Linked DNA regions of Oreochromis niloticus. The protein of the gene in region 1 interacts with the protein of each later gene in a pairwise test. Links are inferred from orthologs where the notes say so. Each region holds a gene or a part of one and is shown on either strand. Other genes may lie near its edges.

Region 1 (7,619 bases):
GGAAATGTGCCAAATTTAAAGATTGAGCAGTTCATAAGGATACAAATGACTTTCAGTTGAGCAGTTTCTTAATTTAGCATGCTGTTCCTGTTGGATGGGAGGAGCTGAAAACATTGCTTTTCTTCACATTTGAACTATTCACACAGGTGATTTGATGAAGGACTTTTATTGTATTTTAGCTCGATTACCCTTCATAGCTTACTCGGAATAACCCTTGAAACTCTTTTCTGAGTGGTTTCTGTCATATTTAATTCCTGACTATTAGAACAAAATGAGTGTGTTTGCATCAAAAGTTAGTGAGGGGGTTTCTGCCCCTAGTTACCCCTGGATAAACCTGAATACTATTCTAATGGTTGTTGAACCACATCTTCATTGATAAATGCCAAGGTGTAAAGTCGTTACTAACCCAACAACACTAACATGCTGTTTTATATAACTTACACATGGGTTAAATCACCCAGCATTAGTGTAGTAGGTTGAGGGTACAGGGGAGGTCATCAAATGTCATCTTTATAGGTTAATTCATCAAAATTCATATTAGCTAGCTATGATGAAAGCTACTTATGTATTTAGTTCACTACTCTTTAGTGTATAAAACAAAAACTGTACTGTAAAAAAGCCAAAGGCTAAACGAACTAAAAAAAAAAAACAGACAGAATGAGGACGAGTATGATGCCTGGCACAGACACAGTGAAGATGTGGGGGAGTTATGTCGCATTGCAAACTTATTATCCAATGGACAACGCGGTTCATCACATGAGTGGACATGGATTTTTAGCTGATATCATCTTCACCTTGTAAGTCTATGTTTTTGTCAATGATGATGAAATGTGTTTATGAAGACACCTTCTGTACTGGGAACAACTGCAACTGCAAAGGCACTATTAGTAATTTGGTTGTTATTTAGCACAATCTGTCAACACAACAGTATCACAACTCTGTAAGATACACACATGAAGCTTTGTCGATGAGATCAAAATGAAGGTAAAGTTTAAAGACTGAGGTTCAAGCCATCAGTACCATGTATTCAAAAAGATTCCGCATTAATGTTGTGAAAATAATCATAATTGCTGTCATCTAATTTTTAGGATAATTTCATTTTAATTGAAGAAAAAAATAAAAATAAGAAGTCCAGAAACATGCATGTCATTGAGTAAAATAAGTATTTGATCCCCCTACAACCCAGCCAGAATTCTGACTCATACAGTGCTTAATATGAACCAGTATAATGTCACATGGTATGATGGTGCACCGAGATAAGGAAGTTACCTTGTTTCATGGCATGCTTTTCCTGTAGGGCTGGCTGAATTTTCTCTATCTGCTTTGTGAGGAAGTCTATTTTGCGCTTAAAGAATGCCTTTGAGTCTTCCACGTTCTGCAGAGACAAAAAGGAGAAATTTCAACACGACTCAAACACATTTAAACATTTTGTTTCATTATAATCCACTCATGGCTTTTCAAATTGCAATTTTTTTTTACCTTTTCAACATAGTATCCTGTCCCCACATCCACTAAAACGTGTTCCACATCATTTAATGTCCCAGGGACATACATCTGAGTAACAGGAATGTCAAGGACAAACATGCATAGCTCAAGATAACCATGACTTAATTTAAAGCACATCATACAACACAGCAAAACACTTACTGTCCAGTGCAAACAAAAGGATACAGAACTGGTAAGAGGCACAAGGAGTTCTTTTCCTATATGAAAGAGGAAATAATAAATCAAATTAAGCTACAGATTTCTAGCGAACATTACTGAAAAAGCAGAATTCTGTTTTTGGCCAGAAATGGTCGTGCGGGGTGTCATAAGAACTAATAAGGATGTAACAAGTGTCATTTTAATGTGATGACTGGTTATATCATTAGAGTGTGACGCTGTGTTAGCAAAACTGATGTTGTACATATGAGCTCAGATCAGTGCCTCAGCGCTTCTGTGTTTTGCTCTTGCTTTTTTGTTTTGTTGAAACTGCGATAGTCATGTACACTATAATCCAGGATGTGTCGTTGATTTTTAATAGAGGACGTCCGATGAATGTCCTAGACCTTAGTTATTAAGAGTGGTTATTTGAGTTGCTGTTGTTCTTCCATCAGCTCAAAGCAGTCTGACCTTTCTACTCTGACATCAACATGGCATTCATTTTGGAAACTCTGGACATTTGTGGTATTTAAACTCCTCTACTCTTTACCGTTACATCCGTCTCTCTCACATTCACACTTGTGCTGACTTTCAAACCTCTCTAGGCTCTCTTCCACCTGCTCCTCACTTTCACTACATAACATTTATCAGTTAACTGGCAAGTTAAAAGGGGAAGTAAATAAACAGGGTAGTAGCTGCTACTTGCATTTCATTTGAATACCGGTTCATCTAATATATAATAATACGAGTTATTGCCGATATAGTCAGTTTCACGCCTCTTGAGTGTTGAGATAAACATGTTTTTCAATCTACCAGAGGTGCACTGAATTAATAGGCTGTCAAAAGTTAAAATTATTACTCACCTTTATTGTTTTTGTTCAGGACATTCAAGCTATCTTTTGCCTCAACATACTTTGTCTGGACAACTTTGAGCTGACCTATCGAAGACGTCAAGAACTCAACTTCCTGCAAAAAGACACAACAACGTGTAGAAAACAAGTGGCACACGGTTACCAACCAATGGTTTTATGCTTGACTTGTTAAGGTGTGCCGACAACATCAACAACAACGGGTTTGCACTGTTAGCATCAGTGGTGCTAGCCGGCTGAATACCCGGGCCCGTTCTCAGCACGCTTAAAGCTCTGATTAGAGCCCTTTATAAGGACACATTCCTCGCACACACACGGACAAACTAGGCACACTACCTGGTCTAGCTGGGTTTTCAGTCCCTCTAATTGAGGCAGGGAGAGGTCTGTCAGATTCACCGCCATGTTGGAAGCGTGATGCTAAGAGACCTTTAGCGATGCTGTTTCCGGGTTATGGAGCTGGACCGTCACTAGTCTGAAACATCGCCCCACTGCGGAGAAGTGAGGAAGTGAACCAGCTCCTTATGCCTCTTCACAGAGAAGTATGTGAGGCTGACAGATGGGTTCAAGTTTGAGCTGGGATAACATCAGGGATCTGCACTGAGCCCCTTCTTGTTTACAATGGTGATCACTGACAGATGAGGTCAGGGAGGAGTTTCTGTGGACTATGGTGTTTGCAGATGGCACCGATCTGTAGTGAGAGTAGGAAGAAAGGAAAAGAGCCTGAAGAAGTGAGGATATACTCAGGAGAGAAGAGGAATAAAAGTCAATAGAAGTAAGAAAGAATACATATGTGTGAATGAGAGAGGCAGAGAGGTGCAGAGGTAGTGAAAGTAGAATAAGTTTAAATACCTGCAGTCAACCATCTGAAGCAATGGACAGTGCGCAAGAGAGGTGAAGAAGAGTGTGCAGGCAGGGTGGAGCCAAGTGTCCGGGGTGATTTGTGACAGAAGGATATCAGCGAGTGTGAAAGGGAAGGTTTACAAGGTGGTAGTGAGACATGCTATGATGTACAATTTGGAGATAGCTGCACTGACTAAAACACAGCAGTCCGAATTGGAGGTGGCAGAGTCGAAAATGAACTGAAGATGGTAAATGTATCAGACAAAGGATCTTGAAGATGGAACTGCCAAGCAGCAGGAGGAGAGAAAGACAGAAAATATTCATGGATGTAGTTAAGGATGGTATGCAGAGGGTTTGTGTGACAGAAGAGGATTCCAGGGATAGAGTGTGATGGAGGCAGATGATCTGCTTTCAGTCTGCTCAGGCCAAAGGAAGAAGAAAAATATTGCTGGATATAGGCCCTATATAAAATTTATTTTTTGTGCTTGTGACAAAATAAAACTAAAACTGCAAGAGCACCCAGAAAGTGTAGACATCCACCAACTGCTGTTAAAAACTAATAATTTATTCCAAAGAAATAACACCATGCATGACCCATGGGTGCAAAGTTCAAAACAGTGACTAGAAAACACTCAGCTGTGATACGAGAGGATGGGCTTTGGGGGGGGTGGCTCCTTTCTGAAGACATTTTTCGTGTCAAACACTTTTATACTGTTACTATTCTTTTCTTTTGTATTGGTTTAAGGTAGAGAGCTTTATGTAAATGTGTCAGGTATCGCAGGCACCAGGTTCAACGTACACTCAGTGGCCACTTTATCAAATAAACGCTGCTGGTACTGGGTTGGACCCTCTTTTTCCTTCAGAACTGCCTTCATTCTTTGTGGCATAAATTCAGCAAGGTGCTGGAAACATTCCTCAGAAATTTTATTCCATTTTAACATGAAAGAATCACAGAGTTGCTGCAGATTTGTCTGCTGCACATCCATGATACCAATCTCCTGGTCAACTAACTCCCAAAGATTGTGATCTGATGATTGTGGAGACAGATCTGGGCTTCACGTCTACATAATTAACAGGGCACCAACAGATTGTGTGTGAAAAAAAACATTTATTATATTTTAAAAAGGAGTTCATTCTATACATTAATAATGAATTTAAAAATTTAAAAGAAATCCCGTTATTTAAAACGTATTGACACACAAAAAATTCAAAACAATGGTTTAAAAATAATGTTATACTCAAAATGCATTTAAAAAAAAAAAAAAAGGATTTAACCTCAGTAGCACCCTATGTTAAGTGCACTGGCAGGCCATATACCACGGGCGCAGCGCCTATCAGATATTTCAAGTGAGTGGCCTGCCGAGACGACCCCATGAAGTCGAGGAGCGGTGCCCCGGAGCCAGCAGAAAACCACGACTCTAACAAGGCCTTGGTGAAGCGATCAATATCCCGATCTGTGACATCCCAGAGATTTCCCAAGATGAATGGGCTAAAACAAACAAACAAAAAATCAAAAGGATGATGACCATAAGACATGTTACAAACTAGATACTTTACATAAGATCCCCAAATATTCCTTCTGTTAACAACAGTTTGTTTCAAAAGATTCTAATTAAATCTGCAACAGCAGTATTAAAAAAAAGAGAGAGGGGAAAAAAAAAAAAAAAAAAAAAAAAAAAAAAAAAAAAAAAAAAAATCACACTCCATGTTATCAAAAATTATATGCAGCAGGATTGCGACCTTTTAAACAAAACTTTCAGTAAGTACATTTTCAGATTTTTACTTTTTATTATTATGCATGTTTATTTTTCTTTATTTAAATTTTTGTTTTTAGGGTCGATTGTAAATCATAAGTGCTTTGTTTGTAGTGCACAAGTTAAAAATAAATGCATAAAATGAAAATGTTTTACATCAGCTATTATAACTGCTGCAGTCATCAAGAGGAAATGCTGTGCATTTCATATGGTCATGTTATCCAGTTTTCATTCAGCTGCACATGGATGAAAATGCAAAGATATCTTACCAGCCTGCTATGATGTAATTTAGCACAATGCCATTTCCTTCCTGCTGTCCCCGGACAGCCAGGGCTCCGCTGCTGCAGCCAAACAGCAGAGACGCTGCCCTCAGCGGCCGTTTGAGAACAGCCTGGCTGTCCAGGAACCGGGCTCCTGCTCCATGGCCCACATAACTAAAATCATGGAGAGATAGATTTAAAAAAACCAAACAAACAAAAAAAACCCAAACAAACAACAACAACAACAACAACAAAAAACCAAACAAACAGTGAAACTCACAAAACGAACAGAAAAAAAAAATAGAAATACAAGGTAAAAAAAGATGGAAATCTGATGACAGAACTGAACGTTAAGAAAAACAAGCCCTCATTATTTAAAATAGAATGAATATTAAATGTTTGACAAAGAGAAAGTTTTATTTTTGAGGTTTCACCCACTTGATAAAGAAATCAGTCCCAGTGTGAACGATCTACACTAAAGCTCAGGGTCACCATCCAGACACCTTCACTTTCTGCACACTGACCCTTACTTATCTCCAGAAGGCCCTCAAGTAGGACATTAAGCTTTGGGTATTTTTGTACACATCTCTACAAGCTATGCACACATGGATTTGGACTCATTCTTTGGCTGGGTCACTCAGACACAGGCAGACTTGTCCTCAAGCTACTCCAACAAGACCGTGGCTGAATTATTTTTACTAATAGATAAACTCTCACCTCTTTCCCTTAAACCCTGACAGGTACACCCATAGCAAGATGCTGCCAAGATGAGAGTATTGCCTTGGAGTCCATCACAGTGCTTAGTGGTCTGCTTGCAGAGTTAATTTTTTACAATTATTATTATTTTTTATTCTCTCTCTCTCTCTCTCTCTCTCTCATATATAGATATATAGATATAGATATATATATAGATATATATAGATATAGATATATATAGTTCATTCAGGTTGCCATTATTGGTTTTAATGTGTTTTTAACGGAGACCTTTTTTTAAAAGAATTTTAAAGTGAATCTTGAATACAGAAAAATCTTCAAACAATAAAGGGGTTTGAATCTGTAGTTAATTTTTACTTATAAAACTGAAACTCACATGTAGACGTCTTTTGTAGCAACAGCTTCTTCTAGTCGGCCCAAGTCAGGTGCAATTCCACACACTCCTTCCCAGTCCGGTTTACTTTAATGAGAATAGAAAACTGAACTGATGAAAAACATTTATGCATGGACTTGTGCTCAATTACTGACATGTTTCAGTCTCACCTGCAAAACCAGTCTTTGAAACGCTCCTGAGAGTTCCCTAAATTGTCATCAGGATCGAGCACATAAAACACTTTCTTTGCATCCACACCACGCCTCAAAATAGACTCGGAGTCAGTCTAAAAGAATGATTGAAATAACGATAACATTGCAACTATTGAAATCAACTGTTTCATTAGCAATACAGACACTTTGCATTAATCCTTGACGGCATGGGAATGTCTTTATTAGCATTGCAGTTAATGAGAGGTGTGAATGTTAAAAGCCTTAACATACATGTATGAGTCCTACCTGACAGTTATAGAGCTTAATCATACCTCTTTTTGAATGCTCAGTCCAAGCAGCGAGTGCAGAGAAGGCATCCGACTTACAGAGCTAGACTTTAAGACGGGAATGCTCTCCCACGGCAACTTCTGAAGGTACTGCAGCAAAAAGTACAAAAGCTGATAAGCAGCAAATACTTTGTCTTCTCACAAGTGATACATTGCAGTGATGCTTTTCAACTCGTAGTGACACACATGCCTGCATTAGCTATAAAAGTGAATTCAGTATTTCACAGAGATTATGAAACCAACCTTGTCAAGGATTAGAACCACATGATTTCGGGGCTCATCCCTCTGTAAGAGCTGGGACACAGCAGTGTGAAGAAGCTGATCACACTCAGTGTCCCACTGTGGAGAAACTCCAAGAGCAAATTGTTTCAAGTCGTCTTCAGATAGCACAGGAGATGCAGAAAGCAGAACCTAAGACAAGTCAGAGGCATTAGTGGTCAGAATAATCAATTAGAAGCTGATGTTAAAGATCCATGGAAATGAAACGAAAACAAACAAAAAAAAACCCACCTTCAACATCTCTTCTTCCACTGGCACTCCCCTTGCAGATAATGCGTGGTAAAGGTGTTGGGTCTGTTTGGAAAGCTCAGCATCCAATGAAAGGGGTAGAAGGAAGGTTCTCCAGCATCCAAGCAACCTCTCCATGTCCTTCAAGAGTTGCTGAAGGTG
Region 2 (6,895 bases), on another chromosome or scaffold:
ACATAAGACAGCTTTAACTTTCACACTGAACATAAGGAAGCAGAATATACCTGCTGCAAATTAACAAGTGCGTTAGATTAAGCAGAGATTTCAGTAAACTTCAAATCCAGAGTTATCCTGCAAAGAGTTTGTTTTCCACCTAAACTGTGTGACTCCATCTACGTGTTCAGCACTGCAGAAATCAAAGGGCCCTGCTGTCACTGTCCATGCTCACTACCTATGAAACTAAAACACCGGCTCCGCTTTTGGATCCGCCTCCTTCGCTGTCCCTGGAGGGAGCGGCTGACTGGCCCTTTTCCTCTCCTTCGCCCTCTCCCACCAAACGTATGTTGTAGCGTTCCCTGTACTCTGTGAGCTCCCGCCCCTTCGTCTGCATCTGTGAGTTGATGGACTCGATTATTTTGGAGATCTGTGAAGATAGGAGGAGGAAGAAAATTAAATCGTGAGCGAAATAAGAGTCTGTGTACAATATATGAAGCTATTAAACAGCAGAGCACAGTGTGAAAACTGTAATATGCTATCATTTCCTCTTCCATCACCTGTTCTTTGTTGTTTTCCAAGGCAGGTAGAACTTCTTTTACTGTCCTCTCCACCAACACTCCTCCTATTAGACGAAAGCATTTCCTCGATGGATCCACCTCCTTCAATGTGTCTATTACTAAGCTGAATGGAAAACAGAAATGTTAAAAAGAAAACGTATTCAACTCAAAAGGTATCACAGGAATGCCTCAGCTGGTAGCTGACATTGTGATTCCCCAGATTGTGAAATATTTGCGGCTAAGGACATGCATTCAGTGTTACATTCACATGCACCACCTGGTCTGCCCTGGAGCTTATTACGTATTTAGATGCTTATAACGTCAGGCCATAAGTCTCAATTAACCTCCACATCCACAAGTCCACTAGGATCATAAATTTCATCATCAGACAGTGAGTGTGAGGGTCCATGTGTCTACAAGGACTTATCCACGGAGACTTTATTTCACCATGCACTGACCACACATCCACTCTGGGAGGTGAACTTAAAAGAAGTATAACAGGAATAACTACTCAGCCATCAGGTCTTCCACCAAGTATATTAATACCCATACAAGTATTTCTGACACCTCATTTAAGCATTTATTTACTTTTATATTTAAACGTTTTAAGATCAGTTACTTAAACTCAGTTACCAAAGTAACTGCTGCAAACCAGCTACCTGTTCCGGTTGTGCCAATGAAGTGTTTGCAATCAGTACTGTTTGCAAACATGCAAATGTTTCCTAATACTGGAAGTGAGAAATAAACACTTGCTGTGTGTGTTTTTCTATCATCTGTCCGCTTTTTCTGTGTACACGTGTGCGCGCACACATTTGGGCCAACATTTGAGAAGGCACGCAGTAAAACCATAAAATAATTTAGCTGCTTCCCAGTGTGTGTTGCAAGCCATGGTCAGATGGATTAAACTCCACCATCTTGGACTTCTGCTCTGAGATCCTCTATGAGCTGGAGGGGCACTTGAGCTAGAACCTGAGCTAGAATTTGATGAGGACCTAGAGTCAAGGCATGACCCTTGACGCCTAGATAACGTCTATCGCCACTAGGATTTCATTCTGCTGTCGTAGCATCGGAGTCGCCAAATAGCATAACTGAATTCTGTGTATCAATAAATCATGTTCAGTTCTCTCTTTCTTGAACTGCCGCATGAAACTTCTTTGTAAATGTAAACTGTTTAGAGCGGATCAGAAGGTTTGTACCAACCTGTGCTCGTTGATGTCCATCTCCAACTCTGCAGCTTTAGAAGCCATACTGCGCTGTTCCTGACGCATCCTCTGAAATGTTGCCACCACCTGCCACACAAAACCAGAGTGAGCACCATCATGGACCAGCAGAGCTATTGCATATGGTATGTTATTTTTATATTCACGTTTCTTGGAGATGACCGGACATGTAAGCATGTCTGATCCACACATAGTTAAGGTGTAAAAGTCTATGTAACCTCACCACACTCAGAAATTCACACATTTTCAGTAATTTTTTTGGCTATATCATAAAAATAATGGCATTTTAATTTCAAGTAACTTAAACGCCTCCTGGTGATCAAAATCAGTGAGCCCTGTTTCTACCAGTGGAAACTGTCAAGGAATGTTCACATTAACAATTAACCAGACTTCACTAAAAACACATAAGTTCTCTACAAGAACATACACAGCCATCACTATTTTCTGAGATGACTGAGGTATTTTAATATCCGCTCAGCATGAGTCTGTGATGGTCACTGCCGTACTCTATGCTGTTCTGTGCTGCGCTGGGACAGCAGAGGGCAGCTGACACCAACAAACGCAAACTGATCCATGATGGACAGCCTGCAGGAGCACCACATGAAACCATTGCATTGATCACATTAATCGCTTTCCACATACTTTTGTTGAGAGCAGCTACACTGCAGGACTTTTACGGCAAACTCAGTTCATCATTACAGATACTTTATGAATATCTGAGTAATGTGGCTTCACGTTGATTGAGTCGGGCTGGGTGGTCTTCAGTTATAAAAATAGCATCTTCTATTCACACAGCTACACCATCTCGTTACACACATGCGCACATTTAAATACGTCTAACAGCCATAAACCGCTCTCTAGAAGCGCACACCTGACCCCAGCTCATTATATGAACGCTTAAATCTTCATGTTTAACACCAGCTGCTTGTTAGAGAGCAGACTGATGGCCGGACACCTGGCTCACTGCGATGGGAAGCTAACGTTAGCTTTAGCTATCCGGGACTCAAACTGGTGGCTGTAACTCCACCGCACAAGGCCCAACGACAACAATATCAACGATTGCACCGGTGAAGCAGCCTGAGGTGGAGGGGAGGGTACCTGTTCAGCTGACGGGCCGGACTGTTTCCCACCGCTGCTGTTGCTGGATTTGCTACCCGTGCTGCTACTGTTGGCTGCCATCTTGGAAGGGTGTTGCTGCGAGGGACCCAGGAAAGACGTACAGGGCTGGTTTACGCGATTGCCTGTATAGAAATGAATAAAATAAAGTGTGACTTTTCATTATGGTATTATTTTCTTTTAATCACTGTAGTATGTGAAATTTTTGACTACTTCACATTACTAGGCCTTCAGTATGGACCAATTACTGTATGGACCTCAAATTACATTGTTACACTGCCTATGTTGTTTTTATTGTGGATTATACAATTTTTATTTTTACTTCTTATAAGAATAAGAATAAGATAACCTTTATTAGTCCCACACGTGGGAAATTTGTTTTGTCACAGCAGGAAGTGGACAGTGCAAAAGTTATGAAGGAAAAATTAGAATAAAATAAAATAAGAATAAATACAGTACACAACTGTACAGAATAGAATAAAATAAAATACTATATACAGTAGAATAAAATAGAATAAAATATACAATAAGATAAGAATAGAATACAAATGCTATATACAATTGAGTAAAAATACAACGATGCCAGAAAAGATTATTGCACATTAGTGTTATTGCACATGTGTGGATGTGTGTGTTTGATCAGTTGAAGTCTTTGTTGTGGAGTCTGACAGCAGTGGGGAGGAAAGACCTGCGAAATGTCTCCGTCCCACACCGTGGGTGCCGCAGTCTCCCACTGAAGGAGCTGCTCAGTGCTGTCACAGTCTCCTGCATGGGGTGGGAGATGTTGTCCAACAGGGATGACAGCTTAGCCACCATTCTCCTGTCACTCACCACCTCCACTGGGTCCAGAGGGCATCCTAGAACAGAGCTGGCCCTTCTGATCAGCCTGTTCAGTCTCTTCCTGTCCCCAGCAGAGATGCTGCCACCCCAGCAGACCACACCATAGAAGATGGCTGAGGCCACCACAGAGTCATAGAAGGTCTTCAGGAGTGGGCCCTCCACTCCAAACGACCTGAGTCTCCGCAGCAGGTACAGCCTGCTCTGCCCTTTCCTGTAGAGGGTGGTGTTGCTGCAAGACGGCAATTTCCCTTGCGTGATCAATAAAGAATCTGTCTATTTACACTCTATGGCGAATTCATTCCTTTATGAAATCCCATTTTAATGCCTTAACATTAGAGTTTTTCATATTATTTATGAGTGACTAAGACTATAAACTCAGCAGGAAAGTTTTTTACAGAGGCTTTTCCATAGACATTTATAGGACCTGAAGTGTTTTTGAAACTACAGCAATTAGCATCTGGTGGTCTTTAGACAGAATGCAGGTTTAAGACACTTTGGCTTCGGTTTTCCAATACAGAAAATGAACATTCATATTTTATACAGTCAGTGTTTACAACAATACACAGTAATAACAAAAGACACATGTTGTGTGTGTGTGTGTGGGGGGGGGGGGGGGGGGGGGCTGTCTGATCTATGTGAATGGCTCTGGAAAAACAGCACTAATTAAAACCCCAGGAATAAGTTTATGTATTCAAAAGTGATCCCTAAGTGTACACTCAGTTATTCCCCTTGTTGTTTTCTAAATATGTTCTCTTTGCTTTTTTGGAAGAGGGCTGCCCACCACCTGCCAGCTGCAAAAGGTTGTGTGTGGCAAACAGCTGGTCACTAGCTACCTAGATTTCTTTTTTGTATTTGAGCAATGTAAAATACAAACTCTCAAAGAGGATAACACAGGTAATAATACAAATGAAAATTTGGAACAGTACAACAGTACACGTTTGTATGAATCGGAAGTAGTTCACATTTTTTGATATTAAGAGATAAACCGGAAGCTTTAGAGAAGATTGAGATAGTACTTGAAGTTTTATCTACCATTGATTTATCTTTCAAAAAGATAGATGTATCATCTGCAAACTGACTTTGAACTCTTTGTTAAAAATTGATATTCCTTGTATGTTGTTAGAATTTTTGATTAATAGTGTTAAGAATTGAGTTGCCAATATAAAAAGCTTTGGGGAAATATGGCATCCTTGTCAGATTCCTCGTTGCGCCTTGAATCCAGGAATGACTCCTGGATTCAAGGAGACCGTGCTACTGATGTCAGTGTAAGCATTTCAACCATGTTGCAAAATTTACTTCCAAAGCCCAAAAATTCTAAAGCTTTTAACAAAAAGGAATGCTCGATTGTGTCAAAAGCCTTGAAGAAGTCCAGAAACAACACTGTTGTGATAAATTCTCTGTAGTCTAGCAGGCCAAGAATCAGTCTAGTGTGGTTATGTATGTTTCTACCCTTCACAAAGGCTGACTGGCACTCATCCACTATTTTGGATAGCCCCAAATCCAATCTATTGGAGTAAATATGAGCTAGCAACTTGTATTCATTGCATAATAAAGTAATTGGTCCCCAGTTATCCAGCAATAGTTTGTCCTTACTGGGTTTTGGAATTAATGTGATGACACCCCTTTTCATGGTAGACGACAGAGATGACCAGATGAAGTACATTCAAAAAGGCATTACAAGGCAGTACCCTGATATCATTCCAAAAATGAATATAAAATTCCACTGTTAACCCATCCAGTTCTGGTGACTTTCCTTTTGACATATGCCCAATTGCTTTATCTAGCTCTGCAATTCTAAGTTTATCTATCTATTCTAAGTGTTGCCTAAAAGACTCATCAATTATTGTACTACTTGGCCTAATTATTTCAAAAAATGTTTGACAATCATCGAGTGAAAAGTTAGATTTATATAATTTCTTATAGAAATGTTCTATTTCCTCATTTATTTGTTCTTGGCTATCATTCCTAAGATTATTAACAAGTAGTTTATTGATTTTCTTTTTTGTTTGTCTTTGATTTTCCAGGCCAAAGAAATAAGAAGTATTTTTTCACCTTCCTCAAGCCAACGAGCTCTTGAGCGTATAAATGCTCCTTTTGCTCTTTCCAGATATAAACTATCCAACTGATTTTGAAGATTATTTAGTTTGATTTGTTCTTCTACAGATGGGTCTTCTTTTTGACGTAATCTGTTCATATGATTAATAATATCATGTTGTTTCTTTTTTTTAACTTTTGAGATGCCTTTACTTATTATTATGGCAACCTCTTTGATTTTAAATTTTAAACCATTCCCATTTACTCAAGGGTGACATTTCCAGTAGATTAATTTCGTTTAACAAGTTTTTTTGTTTCATTGCAAAATTAAACTTCCATAAATAGTTAGGGATATGCTTAACCCCACCTGGTTGAAAAGACATTGAAATAGCACAGTGGTCAGTCAGGGGTGATGCTGATATTTCACATTTAGGGACCTTATTTATCAGGTTAGTAGACATTAACCAAAGTCTAACCTTGAACATTGACCATTATTAGCCCAATTGTACCATGTGAATTGTTTGACATTGGGATTTCTCATTCTCCAAAAATCAATTAGATTTCCTTTAGTAATAAATTCAGCTACAATCTCCTCATAATAGTGGCTATTTCTTCTTGGAGGAGGGCGATCCATATAGACGTCAGGGACCAAATTAAAGTCTCCTCCAACTATGACTTTCTCAGTGTTGGAGTATTATAGGTCACTTTCCATTCCTCCAACATCTTATTCAAGGAAGAGTAAAGTTGTTTGATCTGTGCTCTTTTGTTATAACCATAAACCGCCTACTGGTGTTGCCCAGAGGGGCCGATGGCGCGATATGGCAGCCTCGCCTCTGTCAGTCTGCCCCAGGGCAGCTGTGGCTACAACCATAGCTTGCCTCCACCAGTGTGTGAATGTGAGCGTGAATGAATAATGGCATTGTAAAGCGCTTTGGGTGCCTTGAAAAGCGCTATATAAATCCAATCCATTATTTTTATTATTATTATAAACACAAATCAAAATATATTTAACATCATTAAACTCAACCACCATCATTAGCCTGTATCCATTATTGTCACTACTGTGGTTAATTACAATTCCCGAAAACCTGTTGAATAGGATCATCATGTTTCTGTGTGCATCATTCAGTTTTTTGTCGACCTGTG

What was found. The genes of interacting proteins can lie anywhere in the genome.
Region 2: the proteins of pfdn5 (region 1) and pfdn2 interact in binary tests that used the Homo sapiens proteins (3 or more experiments, as listed by UniProt). The link is inferred for Oreochromis niloticus from reciprocal best matches to the Homo sapiens genes PFDN5 and PFDN2.

Annotation. Positions count from the first base shown.
Region 1 is NC_031970.2:23,616,756-23,624,374, reverse strand, and holds the start of pfdn5 (prefoldin subunit 5), read right to left. Parts: upstream 3,005-7,619; 5' UTR 2,913-3,004; coding exon 2,847-2,912; intron 2,608-2,846; coding exon 2,505-2,607; intron 1,704-2,504; coding exon 1,672-1,703; intron 1,555-1,671; coding exon 1,480-1,554; intron 1,376-1,479; coding exon 1,270-1,375; intron 1-1,269. Other genes in the region: espl1 (separin), read right to left, coding at 4,638-4,839, 5,374-5,538, 6,455-6,538, 6,622-6,737, 6,936-7,040, 7,194-7,361, 7,461-7,610. UniProt on the Homo sapiens protein: Binds specifically to cytosolic chaperonin (c-CPN) and transfers target proteins to it. Binds to nascent polypeptide chain and promotes folding in an environment in which there are many competing pathways for nonnative proteins.
Region 2 is NC_031967.2:23,683,069-23,689,963, reverse strand, and holds the start of pfdn2 (prefoldin subunit 2), read right to left. Parts: upstream 3,014-6,895; 5' UTR 2,939-3,013; coding exon 2,858-2,938; intron 1,829-2,857; coding exon 1,740-1,828; intron 664-1,739; coding exon 540-663; intron 410-539; coding exon 218-409; 3' UTR 1-217. UniProt on the Homo sapiens protein: Binds specifically to cytosolic chaperonin (c-CPN) and transfers target proteins to it. Binds to nascent polypeptide chain and promotes folding in an environment in which there are many competing pathways for nonnative proteins.